2 linked regions of the Anolis sagrei genome follow. The protein of the gene in region 1 interacts with the protein of each later gene in a pairwise test. Links are inferred from orthologs where the notes say so. Each region holds a gene or a part of one and is shown in the gene's direction. Other genes may lie near its edges.

Region 1 (7,274 bases):
TCAATGGCTTTTTGTTTCATTTTGGATTGTCCCATTACAAGATTGTCATGGTAAACGACATTCAAAATGGGTTTACTGTGCCTCCTTCTGTGCATTACTACCTCGTATGAGCAATGATACCACTTCCATTGTCTCTGAGACATCCTCCACCAATGCCATACCCCACTCCTTCTGATAACAATTAACTCTCTCGCACATTTAGCCTGACTGCTTAGCAAAAGCCTATCTGACACAGGAGACCCTACTAGCAGCACTGCTGTCATCGGCATAGCTTCTTGCTTTACAGGAGCATGCAATCCTCCCACAACCAAAGACAAATAGTGCCATGGTGAGGAAATCAGTATATATGCCCTAATCCTAACCTGTAGTTAAACATTACCTCCATCCAACCAATTCAAGCTGCTTTGGAAACCACTTGAAGTTATACAATAATGTTCCCTGGTCCAGTTATCTGAATGCCTAGCCAGATCTGAAGAAGTTGTGTGTGAGAGGATAAAGGATATGTGAAGGACAGCAGTCTAGTGATATATGATCAAACACAATGAGCTCTGCATAAATCAGATGTTCTCATCTACTTTGTCATCTGACTATTCTTTTACATTTTTACACATAGTTTTTGGATAGCAAGCAACATGCAAAACACACTTCTTTCTACAAGACATGCTAATGATAAATCATGCATATGCATTTGTATATGAAAAATGTGCTGCTTCTCTCTTCTTTTATTTGCATCTCTTTCATAATATCAATCACAATATTTTTCACATACATATATGAAATTATTTCTATAATTTCCCAAGGCAACACAGCCTTCCTGTCCAGCCAGTTTCCATTAAGACAAAGCACTCTGGTGTCAGGAGAATACCACTCTTTGGGAAAAGGAAAATCTAATAAGAGGATTCTTATTTAGCCAACACTACCAGATAGCATGCCTCTGCATATGAGTTTCTGGGGCACTTCAGCTGATTGGGTGCTATGTGATTGGAATCCTGGACTAAATAGACTGATTTGACCTTTAGTGACCGAAGCATAAGCACTTAAAAGATTTTGATGTCCCTACATAAATCTAATTCAAAATGTAAACAATGATAAACTGTAAACTAAAATTTTAAATTTAAATGAAATTAAATGAAACAAAACTTACAGTAAAATAATTATACATTTTGTATCCTTTCACTTTATATTTAAAAGCTTTTCTCCTACTTGTTATAATTGCAGTCTTTTTATTGTCGAGGCCCCTTTTGGTGGAATCTTGTTCAGCTGCATCATTTGCAGTTTTGCACTGTATGGTGACCCATGGTAAACCTGGCAATGCAAAGTTTGTATGGTATCCCCTTACCTTGATGCCTTGCTTCATTTGCTTAATGGTTAGCCCTAACATTACCTATGTTTGGAGCCGGTCTGGCATAGTAAAGTGAACTACAGGATTCTGAACACCAGGGTTCAAATGTCCACTCATCTTTGCAAACCCAGCATGTCACCTTAGGCAGGTCACATTCTCAGCCTCAGGTCCCTTCCACACAGCCCTATATCCCAGAATATCAAGGCAGAAAATCCCACAATATCTGCTTTGAACTGTGTTATCTGAGTCCACACTGCCACATATTCCAATTTAAAACAGAAAATATGGGATTTTATTCATCTGTGTGGAAGGGCCCCCACATTCTCTGCTTTGAACTGGGTTATCTGAGTCCATACTCAGAAAAGGTGGGATTTTCTGCCATGATACTCTGGGATACAGGGCTGTGTGGAAGGGCCCTAGGGGGCCCCTCAGTGACCTTGGGCAAGTCAAACTCTCTCAGAGCCCTTCCACACAGCCCTATATCCCAGAATATCAAGGCTGAAAATCCCAAAATATCTGCTTTGAACTGGGTTATCTGAATCCACACTGCCATATATTCCAGTTCAAAGCAGATAATGTGGGATATTTTTCAGCTGTGAGGAAGGGGCCCCAGCTTCGGCAGAAACCTCATCTGGGCAAATTTTCCCATGAAATCCCATAATCTCTGTTACTTGGGAGCGCACAACAATCAATGCTTACTAAGTCAGTGGTAGGGCCATAGCTCGGGGAGGGGGGGGGGGGGGGAGGGAGGGAGTTCAACCCTGCCTTGAAATGTGTCAGGTTAAAAAAGAAACCTGGTTTGTTCATAACTTGGTTAACCAGTTAAAATTCTTGAGTAAACCAGGTTTGGCGGGGGGGGGGGGGTTGTAGTTAAAACCCTTAACACACACACACACACACAGCCCTGTGTGTGTATGTATATATATTTGACAGTGTGAACTCAGATAATCCAGTTCAAAGCACATATTGTGAATTATCTTCCTTGATATTCTGGTTTATATGGCTGCATGGAAGGACCCTAAAACAACCAACCTCCATCTATTTATCTATCTGGTGAGGATGGGCCCTAGAATAACTAAACTCCCCCCTCCCCCCTTCTCTCTCTGGGGGATGGAGTTTAGTTGTTTTAGTGCCCTTCCACACAGCCCTATAACACAGAATATCAAGGCAGATAATCCACACTGATTTGAACTGGATTACCTGAGTCCACACTGCCAGTTCAATGTGGATTTTATGCAGCTGTGTGGAAGGGGCCTAAGTTTATTTATTTATTTACAGTATTTATATCCCGCCCTTCTCACCCTGCAGGGGACACAGAGCAGATTACAATGTACATATACATGGCAAACATTCAAGGTCATAGAAACACAACATATATAGACAGACACACAGGGGCTATTTAACATTCCAGCTCTTTTATGAGGGTATTCTGGCCACCAGGGAAGCTGTCACTTCACTGTCCTTTTGTAACACTGATGAAGTACTTCCTTGTTGTATTGTCCAAGGCTTTCATGGCTGGAATCACTGGGTTGTTGTAGGTGTTTCGGGCTATATGGCCATGGTCTAGAGGCATTCTCTCCTGACGTTTCGCCTGAATCTATGGCAAGCATCCTCAGTGGTAGTGAGGTCTGTTGGAACTAGGAAAAAGGGTTTCTATATTTGTGGAATGACCAGGGTGGGGCAAAGGACTCTTGTCTGCTGGAGCTAGGTGTGAATGTTTCAAAGAGTCCTTTGTCCCACCCTGGTCATTCCACAAATATAGAAACCCTTTTTCCTAGTTCCAACAGACCTCACTATCTCTGAGGATGCGTGCCAAAGATGCAGGCGAAACAACAGGAGAGAATGCCTCTAGACCAGGGGTCCTCAAACTTTTTAAACAAAGGGCCAGGTCACAGTCTTTCAAACTGTTGGAGGGCCGGATCATAATTTGAAAAAAAACAAACAAACACACACACACACACACATGAATGAATTCATTTATTTTTAAACACTGCACATATCTTATTGGTTGTGTAAAAAACACTTTAAACAATACAATAATTAACATGAATAACAATTTTAACAAATATGAAGTTATTAGTACTTCAATGGGAAGTGTGGACCTGCTTTTGCTGATGAGCTAGGGTTGTTGTGTGCTTTCAAGTCATTTCAGACTTAGGTTGACCCTGTGCGAGGGCTGAGTAAATGACCTTGGAGGGCTGCACCCGGCCCCCGGGCCTTAGTTTGAGGACCCCTGCTCTAGACCATGGCCATATAGCCCGAAAAAACCTACAACAACCCAATACTTCCTCATTCTTTGCATGCTTGCTAGAGATTTTTATGGTGTCCTAAATTAGCCTCCCCCGCATAAGCGGTACCTAAATATCCTACTTGACAGATACAACTGTCTTTTGGGCTGCAAAGGTCGACAGCAAGCTACACAAATTGGTCGGAAGCTCACTCTGACCTGGGCTGGCTTTTGGTCAGTAGTGATTTTAATGAAGCTGACGCCCAGCCAGCTGCGCCAAAGTCCCAGTTGCTAGGAATGAAGGTGGGAATATTATAAAGTCATTTTTGTATTGGATTAGTTTATTATGTTTGTTTGTTTGTTTACTTTGGTGTCTACGTTTATTTTATGTTTGTGTGAAAAAATAATAAAGGGGGGGGGGTGATAATCCCCAAGGTCTGCAAACCCTGAGTAGGGGAAGCGTAGCCTCCTCAGACTCCCACCCTGGAGTTGGCATCCGCCCTTGGATCCGAACAGGAACAGCACGTCTAGGGGCCGCGTTGTGCTTCCAGCCGGGCTCCATCCCTGACATCATCTCCTTGACGCCGGAATGCCTCCTTCCGCGCTGCCGGACTAATCGCATTTCTGGCTCTGCTTTGTCTGCCTCCCAGGCGCTCTCTCTCTCTCTTCTCTCTCTCTCCTTTGGGTCGCCTGTTGACGCCTATTTCCTCGCTGGCCTTCCTTCCCCCGTCCCTCCTGGCTGGCTTTTTTCACCTAATCTCCACCCCCAGATCCGCCCTTCCCGTAAACCACCCCTCTCTTCCTTTTGCTTTCCTCTTGAGCCAAACAGAGGGAAGTGGAAAGCAACGAAGCGGAGCAGCAATTCGAACAAGGTAATAACTACAAACTGATGGGGTGCCCACTCTGGGGAAGGCTTTCCATAGTTGTTGTTTCCAAAATAAGGCTGAGACCCTACAACGGGGGTTTCTTGGCAATGTTTGTCTACAGGGGGAATGCTGAAAGAATTGTCGAAGGTCACTCGGAGGGTTTGATGGCCGAGGTGTCTCTAGAGCCAAAAACACGCTTTTCCCCCACTCCTCCCTTACGAGTTCAGCCAGCTAATGGATGCATCTACACTTCTGAATTAATGCAGTTTGACACCACCTGAATTGCCATGGCTGAGTGCTATAGAATCTTGGGGTTTACATGATGTGGTCATTCAGGAGATACATCAGATATGTCTGATCTTTATCGAATGCTGTGCTCCTGGGACTTGTTTTGCAAAGTCTTTTGGCCTCCTCTAGTAGAATCATAGAGTTGGAAGAGACCTCCTGGGCCATCCAGTCCAACCCCATTCTGCCAAGAAGCAGGGAAATTTCATTCAAAGCACTCCCGACACATGGCCCATCCAGCCTCTGTTTAAAAGCTTCCAAAGCAGGAGCCTCCACCACACTCCAGGGCAGAGAGTTCCACTGCTGAACAGCTCTCACAGTCAGGAAGTTCTTCCTAATGTCTAAGTGGAATCTCCTTTCCTGTAGTTTGAAGCCATTGTTCCGCATCCTAGTCTCCAGGGAAGCAGAAAACATGCTTGCTCCATCCTCCCTACGACTTCCTCACATCATCAGTGCCATGCAACCTTTGACCCTCCAGATGTTGTTGACCCTCCTCTAAGCCTTCTCTTCTGCAGGCTAAACATGCCCAGCTCTTTAAGCCGCTCCTCATAGGGCTTGTTCTCCAGACCCTTGATCGTTTTAGACACCCTCCTCTGGACACATTTCAGCTTGTCAATAGCTCTCTTCAATTGTAGTGCCTCACCAAACTGCAAATCACAGGATTCCATAGCATTGGGCCAGGGTATCGAACTGTATTCAATCTACAGTGTAATTGTTGCACCTTGTGGTCATAGATGCCTACGTAGCACAATATTCTCAGAGGGAGAAAGGTGTTTGTGTGGAAAGTAAACAGAAACCGAACTCTCTGAGTGCTTTCGATTTCTCAACCCCCCCCCCCCTGTTTCCCCCTCCCTGCTTTAGTCTAGATTTTAAAAACAAGAGGAGCTTCCGCCTTCATTCACGACCAGGTGAGACCCTTTCCCATTTTCCCTCTGTCCATCCGGTGGGCTACTTCCTAACCTGGGCTTTCCACCTCTCCATTTAGTTAGAATGCATCTACCTTGTTGAATGGAAGCGGCTCAATTGCTCTGGCTCAAGGCAATCTATGGGCGTTGTCGCTTTGCAAGGCATGCACTGCACTGTAAGATGAATGCACCACTTTAAGTGCCATAATGTGAGGGAGTCTTGGGAGTTGTAGTTTGGTGAAGCACCAGCCCTCTTTAACAGAGAAACTTACAGAACTTGTAAAACTGAGACTCCCCAGATATCACCATCGAGCCAGGTCACCTAAAGTGGTGTCAAACTGCATTGATTCTACAGTATAGATCAGTGCCATGCAACCTTTGACCCTCCAGCTGTTGTTGACATGCTGAAAGGTGTCCAGAGGAGCGTGACTAAAATGATTCAAGAGTCTTTTCACTTCTCCATTTACTTAGAAGGAACCTATCTTGTTGAATGGCTCAATTGCTCTAGCTCAAGGCTATGTATGGGCATTGTAACTTTGCAAGGCATGCACTGTAGGATGAATGCACCACTTTAACTGTCACGATGTGAGGGAATCTTGAGAGTTGTAGTTTGGTGAGGCACCAGCCCTCGAGAAAATTACAGAGCTTGTGAAACTACCAATCCCTGGGTGTCATATCGTTGAACCAGAGCAGCTAAAGTGTCAAACTACAATATCAATCAGTGCCATCCAACTTTTGGCCCTCCAGGTGTTGTTGACAAGCTGAAAGGTGTCCAGATGAGGGCAACTAAAATAATCAAGGGTCTGGAGAACAAGCCCTATGAGGAACGGCTTAAAGAGCTGGGCATGTTTAGCCGTCAGAACATAAGGCAGAGAGGAGACATTATGGCCATGTATAAATATGTGAAGGAAGTCATAGGGAGAAGGAAACAAGCTTGTTTTCTGCTGCTCTGGAGACTAAGGCACCGAACAATGGCTCCAAAGTACAAGAAAGGAGATTCCACCTGAACATTAAGAACTTCCTGACTGTGAGAGCTGTTCAGCAGTGGAACTCTCAGCCCTGAAGTGTGGTGGAGGCTCCTTTTCTGGAGGCTTTTAAACAGAGGCTGGATGGCTGTCAGGGGTGCTTTGAATGCGATTTTCCTGCTTCTTGGCAGAATGGGGTTGGACTGAATGGCCCATGAGGTCTCTTCCAACTATGATTTTTTTTACCATTATATGGGCCCAGGCTGGCTCACCTAATGGTAAAAAATTCTGCGAGCAGAGGTCCAAAACACCCGGAAGATCAAAGATTGGACTCCACTCATGTAGATTAATAATTCCCAAACACCTCCAGGTGTTTTTGGACTTAGAACTCCAAGACGCTTGTGAGCCAGTGATCAGGGATTCTGGAAGCTGAAGTCCAAAAATACCTAGAAGACCAAAGTTTGTGAAATACTAGTGTAGAAGCTCCCAAGGTCTTAATACTTTTTGGCCAGAGAGTGTTTGTTGGTGCCTCACCCAAATACAGCTTACAGACTGTCATAGCATTGAGCCTTGGCAGCTAAAATGATGTCATTGCTTTAATACAGCAGTGTAGAATCATAGAGTTGGAAGAGACCTCATGAGCCATCCTGTCCAACCCCCTGTCAACAAGCAGAAAAATAGCAT
Region 2 (7,532 bases), on another chromosome or scaffold:
CTCTGCATGGGCAAACATTTAGGTTAGTGTAGGCATGGGCAAACTTGGGCCCTCCAGGTGTTTTGGACTTCAACTCCCACCATTCCTGACCTCAGGCCTTTTCCTTTTCCCCCCTCAGCTGCTTAAGCGGCTGAGGGGGGAAAAGGAAAAAGCCTGAGGTCAGGAATGGTGGGAGTTGAAGTCCAAAACACCTAGAGGGTCCAAGTTTGCCCATGGAATGGTGGGAGTTAAGGCCTGAGGTCAGGAATGGTGGGAGTTGAAGTCCAAAACACCTGGAGGGCCCAACCCATGCCTGGATTAGTGTGTTCGTTTCAGATTTAGTTTTTTATTCAGTTTATTCAGAGGGAGAAAGGTTCCACTAGGTTCAACAAGATTTCCTCAATGGGTAATTGTAGCTACAGTGAGAGAAACAGTGAACCAAAGGGACTCCATTTTGCTTGTCACTATGAGGGTGCCTTAGAGGGAACATTGCCCTTTGGTCTTCTGAGGAAAAACACCCAGGACTGCACCACACTTCAGGTTTGCGCACGACAGCGATGACGTAACCGATCTGAGCAAGAAGGCAAAGAAAATGGCGGGCGGCTTAGCGCCAGAGGAGACACTACTACGACAACAAAAAGGCCGCCTTCTCGCGTGACCAACGCTACCCTTCAGTTGGTCCTTCTGTGAATTAAGGCCCCATTTTAGATTCTTTTTTTAAATAGCTGGGTGAAATTAAAAAGTATTCAAACCCGCAATTTTTGAAAGTCAATTTTTTCAACGCGCATGCGGGGTTGAAAAGCGCGGTGCTATGGTCGGTGGGGAGGTTTTTTTGAAGTGCGCATGCGCCATGTAAGGAAGCCAGGACTGGTAGACGGAGGCGGGTGCTCGGAAAACAATGCGCTCGTGCGCAGAAGGGCTGCTTGACCGACGGGTCGCGCGCCCGGGCAGGTTCTTGTAAATAACATTAAGAGCGCATGCGCGGCCAAAATGGTCGGCCGTTCCAAGACCCATGGGTCCCCAGCGCGCATCCGCGGCAAGATGCCCGAATCCAGGAAAAGGACTGTTCTACGCATGCGTGTGCTCCAAGCAGGGAGACTGCGGGAGAAAGTCAGCGCATGCGTACTGGTAGAGGTTGGCAACTTGCTGGTTGATGTATGACCTCACGTTTTCATGCAATTCAATGGCGCGTGAAATGATTTGCTTTCATTTGAGTGCTGACCCGACTTTATGTATTTAGGACATTTGTATGCCGCCCTTCTCACCTCGAAGGGTACTTAGAGCGGCTTGCAAGATATATACATATATATACATACATACAATATGTTATTAGCATAGTACAATATCAGTATTAAATATTATGTTAAATATTATGATGTTTTATATTTTACTATTATGTTTTTTATTTGATTGTAATTTGTATTGTTATATTGTAATTTTTGTTCGGGCTTGGCCCCATGTAAGCCGCTCCGAGTCCCTTTTGGGGAGATGTTGGCGGGGTACAAATAAAGTTTATTATTATTATTATTATTATTATTATTATTATTACTTTATAGTACTATACCATTATATTGTAATATTATTAATATTACAAGAAATATATATATATAATGCACTGGGATTGTGGCGCAGCTGGCTGAGTGTCAGCTGCATTAAGATCACTCTGACCAAAGGTCATGAGTTCGAAGCTAGCCCAGGTTGGAGTGGGTTTCCAACCATTGTGTAGCCTGTTGTCGACCTTTGCAACCCGAAAGACAGTTGCATTTGTCAAGTAGGAAAATAAGGTACCACCTTAAAGTGTGGGGAGGCTAAATTAACTAATTTATGAGACCATTAAAAAAGACTTCAGCAAGCACTCCAACAAAAAGCATGTGGGGAATGCGGAAGTACTTCATCAGCGTCGCAGATGGACGATAAAGGCGACAGCTCCCCTGGCGGCCAGAAAAAGTTAAATAGCCTCTGTCTATGTCTGTATATGTTGTATGTCAAAATTGGCATTGAATGTTTGCCATATATGTGTACACTGTAATCCGCCCTGAGTCCCCTGCGGGGTGAGAAGGGCGGAATATAAAAGCTGTAAATAAATAAATAAATAAATAAATAAATAATATTCGTATTTTAATGCAATATAATACTAATAATATGATAGTATAATTACATATTTATATATCATGTAATATTAATAATATTACAAATATATTATAAATATATGTATATACACTATATTATATTACATTACATTATATTATAAGCATAGCACTTTGGGAAAGCATGGTGAGGCGGTAGCTTTCATAAACCAAGGGAGCATTTCTATATGAATATTTGGAAATCTGTGCTTTATGGAATAAAAATACGCCCACTGTATCAACTGCCCCTAAATACATATCAATACTGCAAGCTGTCTTTCCACTCTAGTTCTTTGTGTCCTTGCCCATGTATGATAAAATATGTGTGGTAGAAGACTTTCATGGCCAGAATCACTCCAAGCCACATATATTACATATTCTTTACAGTACATTAACATGCAAGAAAGTGGATTATATTTGGGATAGAGCTTATGTTTGTTTGTGTCTTTAAGAACTACCCCGAATTCTCTGTATGGGAGCAAAATGACACAAAGGTACACCTGCCACATTCCCTCTTTTCATCAAGCTGTTAAAGGCACAGGAGCCCTGCCCCATAGCGTTTGTTGTTATACTGCCCAAATCCTTGTCTCTAGATGAGCTTGAGTGCCTTTGAAAACAGGAAAGTAAACAGAACTTACACTAGTTTTTATAGTGTTTGATCAGGGATTGCCTCACCCTTCGCAGTACTTTCTACATGGATCACGGTAAAGAAATATTGCCATTCAAATTGCTAGTTCGACGCAAAAATGATCTCGGATATCCTCGACTCTAATTTGAAACAAGTGATAGTAAAACTTTTAAGTCTTGTTATTGTCTCATATATTTGCTAGTGTGGGGAAGGCCAATTGATTGTCCTGGCACTCCAGCAGATTACGTCGTTGATCCTGTTTGGGATTGGGGGGGGGGGTAGCTATAGAACTGCCCCCTTTGTGTCTCCCCCTCCAAGAATCAGAATTATAAGCGTTGGAAGACACCTCATGGGCCATCCGGTCCAGCCCCCCGCCAAGAAGCAGGAAAATCACATTCAAAACATCCCTGACAGATGGCCATCCAGCCTATTTAAAAGCTTCCAAAGGAGGAGCTTCCACCACACTCCGGGACAGAGAGTTCCACTGCTGAATAGCTCTCACAGTTCTTCCTAATGTTCCGGTGGAAACGCCTTTCCTGTAGTTTGAAGCCATTGTTCTGTGTCTTAGTCTCCAAGGCAGCAGAAAAAAAGCCTCCTCCCTCCTCACTATGACTTTCCCTCACATATTTATACACGGCCCTCATTATGTCTCATCTCAGCCTTTTTTTCTGCAGGCTAAACATGCCCAGCTATTTAAGCCTCATAGGGCTTGTTCTCCAGACCCTTGATCATTTTAGTCGCCCTCCTCTTGACACATTCCAGCTTGTCAACATCTTCCTTCAATTGTGGTGCCCAGAATTGGACACAGTGTGATTCCAGGTGTGGTCTGACCAAGGCAGAATAGAGGGGTAGCAGGACTTCCCTGGATCAAGACACCAGACTCCTATTTATGCAGGCAAAAATCCCATTGGATTCTGTAAGTTTCCAACTTACGGTGACCCTATAACCAGGCATACAATGTGTCAAAGACATACAACAGCAACAATGTGGCAAGACTGGAGACCATATGAAATCGCAACATGATAGGGGTGTCTGATCTTAACAGATTAGAGAGATGGGCCAAAACTAACAAAATGAAGTTCAACAGGCACAAATGCAAGATACGCCACTTAGGCAGAAAAAATGAAATGCAAAGATACAGAATGGGGGACCATACTTGGCTCGATAGCAGGACGAGTGAAAAGGATCTTAGAGTCCTTTTTAGCTGCAGTATCACACTGTTGACTCAGGTTCAGCTCGTGGTCTACTCAGACTCCTAGATCCGTGTATCTTCCATGTGAAGGCTTCCATGGTCGGAATCACAGGGTTGTTGGAAGTTTCCCGGGATGGATGGCCATGTTCCAGAAGCATTCTCTCCTGACGTTTCACCTGCATCTATGACAGGCATCCTCAGAGGTTGTGATCCCTCCTAGATCCCTTTCACATGAACGATCGCCATAAGTTTCACACCCCATCACTCAGTGAGTTTTAAGGGCCAAGCAGCGTGTTCTCCCAAGTTGTCCAATGTCGAAACCACAAACATCTTCATCATGCAGCATAGAGACCCCATTGCCCCATACACACATACACATGCCATCTTTTGCGGCCAAGTCATCTTCATGCAGACCTGAATGAAAAGGGGTTGGCTGCACTTCAAAATGTATTGCAAGTATCCCTCCTCGCCATTCAGTTGTTGGGTACATTCCCTTATGCCTGCTTTGCCATTATGATTTGCCTATGTTTTCCAATGACTCATGTGTAAAGGAGAATATTTCATAATCTGCTTGCCCTTTAACAGGCTCTCTTCCCCACAAGAGTTTGCTCCTCCTCTACCAGGAAATAAATCTTTAGGGAGGGGGGATTTTTGCCTAACCCACAAGAGGATATAGCAGAAAGAGAAAACAAGCTCTCTTGCACGGTAAGGTTTCCTTCCTTCCCTCCTTCCTTCCTTCCTTCCTTCCTTCCTTCCTTCCTTCCTTCCTTCCTTCCTTCCTTCCTTCTCTTGCACCTTCCAAGTGAGAAATGGGAGTCTCCCACTGTTTTCCAGGTCTCACTTCCTTCCCTTGTAATTTATTTCTCTCTAGAGTTAGAAAGTTGCTTGATTAAAGACTGTATGAGATCTCAGGGCTATAATGATTGCTCAGAAAATGGGTGGAGAACTTCTCTTTGCCATAAAGCAGTCCATCTGACTCCTTGAGTAATGTGGACTCTGATTCTTCCTGTTGGTTTCATTGCATAGAAATCTGAATTTGCCACCTTTCTCCCTGTTCCAGCTCAAGTTGCTCTAGGCTTGTCCAGGAGTTAAGCCTGAAGTTTACATTTTCAGCAGGATTTAGGTCTGGTAAGCTCATTTCCTATCATTTCCGTGATCAGAAGAGTCATGAGCTGCTAGTAACGCATAGCCATGGGGAGGGTTATTCTAGTTACTGGAAGTAGGTGTGTCCCTGTAATAGGACCTCAAGGGTTTTCTGTATCATAACTTCCCGATACAGGCCAGGCTGGTTTCCTCAGTTTGTTGAAGGATTAAACACAATAAATGTGTTGCGTTACAGTGGGCATTGGGTGTTTCTGGATTCCTCAAAGCCCTGCCAGTTAGTGGTTGGAGGAGAGATGAGCAAGAGGACAGGGTGTGTCTGCCCTACAGCTTCTTACCCCGCTAGGCACATTACAGATTTGCTGGATTTCAGTTCCCATCATCCCGAGCCAGTAGACACCACATTGTCTAAGGGAAATGGGATTTAGAGTCCAAAACACCTGGAAGGCAATGGGTTAAAGGCCATTGCCATAATGGCGTCTTCTCTCAAACTGCGTGCATCAAACTCAAGGCCCACTGGCTGAATCCAGCCCACTATGTAATTCTGTGCAGCTCTCCAAATGCTGGACTACAACTCCTGTATTTATCTATTTATTTATTTACCTTATTTACCGTATATACTCGAGTATAAGCCGACCCGAATATAAACCGAGGCACCTAATTTTATCACAAAAAACATGGAAAACGTATTGACTCGAGTATAAGCCGAGGGTGGGAAATGCATCCACTATGGGTCAATTTCAAAATAAAAATAGATACCAATAAAATTACATTAATTGAGGCATCAATAGGCTAAACGTTTCTGAATATTTACATAAAACTGTAATTTAAGATATGACTGCCCAACTCTTATTAAACCATTATTCTAGCCTCCTTCAATGTAAATGTGCTTATTATTAAAATAATAAATATAATAAAAATAATAGAGTAAAATAATGAAAATGCAATAAAACAATAATAGAGTAAAATAATAAATGTAGTAATAATAGCACAACATACTATAAATGTAATAATAATAGGGTAAAATACTGTGAATGTAATAATAAAAATAATAAAAATAATAATAATAAAAAGATTAAAATAATAAATGTAATAATAATAATAGGGTAAAATACTGTGAATGTAATAATAATAATAATAATAAATAGATTAAAATAATAAATGTAATAATAATAATAATAATAATAATAATAGAGCAAAATAATAAATACAATAATAGAACAAAATAATGTAAATATAATAATAATAGAGTGAAATAATAAATGTAATAAAATAATACTAATAACAGAGTAAAAGAATAAATAACCTTGACTCGAGTATAAGCCGAGGGGAGCTTTTTCAGCCTAAAAAAGGGGCTGAAAAACTAGATTTATACTCGAGTATATACAGTATATCCCGCCTTTCTCTACCTCGAGGAGGACTCCAGGCAGCTTACAGTTGGCACTTACATAATGCCTCACAACATACAATAGTGACTTAAAATAAATTGGAATAAAAACTAACATATTGAACATAATAAAATACATTCCAGCCAGTGTTAAAAATACACCATCCATAATCCAGAGTCTAAGGCCATTTCGTAGTCAAATTGCACATTATTCCACATTAAGGTTATTGTACTGCATTAGTTTTCAAAAGCCTGCTCCGAGATCCAGGTCTTGACTCTCCTTCTGAAGGCTAGGAGGGAGGGGGCTGATCTAATATCCCTCAGGAGGGAGTTCCATAGACAAGGGGCCACCACTGAGAAGGCTCTGTCTCTCGTCCCCACCAGCCATGTTTGCAAAGCAGGTGGGACTAAAAGCATGGCCTCCACAGATGATCTTAATTCCCAAGATGTATTTCTCCTCGTTAGATATCATGACTAGAACTGATGGGAGTTGTGATATAGCAACACCTGGAAGGCTGCAGTTTGTTCTGTTTAACCAGGACAGCATGGTTCGAATTTAGATATAAGACTTGTGGATATGAGGCCTGACTTTAAAACCTTTAATGTTTTCCCAACCTCAGAATCTCAAATGCGAATGGGTTGCAATTCCCATTATCCCCAGTATGCATGGCAGATAATAAAAAGTTATGGGAGTTGTGGATCAATAACACCTGGGGGCCCAAATTGGGTAAAAAGTCAAGAGCACCAACCACTATGTAAAATAAATTATAGTTGGCCTTCTGTATCCATGGATTTTCCCTCCATGGAGTCAATGCCCCAAATATAAGGCTGATGTTGCCCTCAGTGAAAATGAGTTTGATATCCCTGTCCCAGAGGATTCTAATCTAATGCTTCATTCCTTCTGTAGTCGTCTTTACTTTGAAAAGCCAGACTTGGCTACGGTGGTCCACGCCTTAGTTACATCCAGAATGGGCTACTGCAATGCACTCTATGTGGGGCTGTCTTTGAAGACGGTTCAGAAGAGCTGCAGTCAGTGCAAAGATGGGCAACCAGATTACTAACTAGGGCTAGTTATAGGGAGATACTCTGTCCCTATTAAAACAGCTCTACTGGCTTCCA

What was found.
Region 2: the proteins of phospholipid scramblase 2-like (region 1) and MVP interact in a two-hybrid assay, tested with the Homo sapiens proteins (2 studies listed by BioGRID and IntAct). The link is inferred for Anolis sagrei from reciprocal best matches to the Homo sapiens genes PLSCR1 and MVP.

The regions. Positions count from the first base shown.
Region 1 is NC_090023.1:239,101,535-239,108,808, reverse strand, and holds the start of phospholipid scramblase 2-like, read left to right. Parts: upstream 1-4,254; 5' UTR 4,255-4,441; intron 4,442-7,274. UniProt on the Homo sapiens protein: Catalyzes calcium-induced ATP-independent rapid bidirectional and non-specific movement of phospholipids (lipid scrambling or lipid flip-flop) between the inner and outer leaflet of the plasma membrane resulting in collapse of the phospholipid asymmetry which leads to phosphatidylserine externalization on the cell surface.
Region 2 is NC_090026.1:17,350,268-17,357,799, forward strand, and holds the start of MVP (major vault protein), read left to right. Parts: upstream 1-4,523; 5' UTR 4,524-4,630; intron 4,631-4,985; exon of another isoform or gene 4,986-5,053; intron 5,054-7,532. UniProt on the Homo sapiens protein: Required for normal vault structure. Vaults are multi-subunit structures that may act as scaffolds for proteins involved in signal transduction. Vaults may also play a role in nucleo-cytoplasmic transport.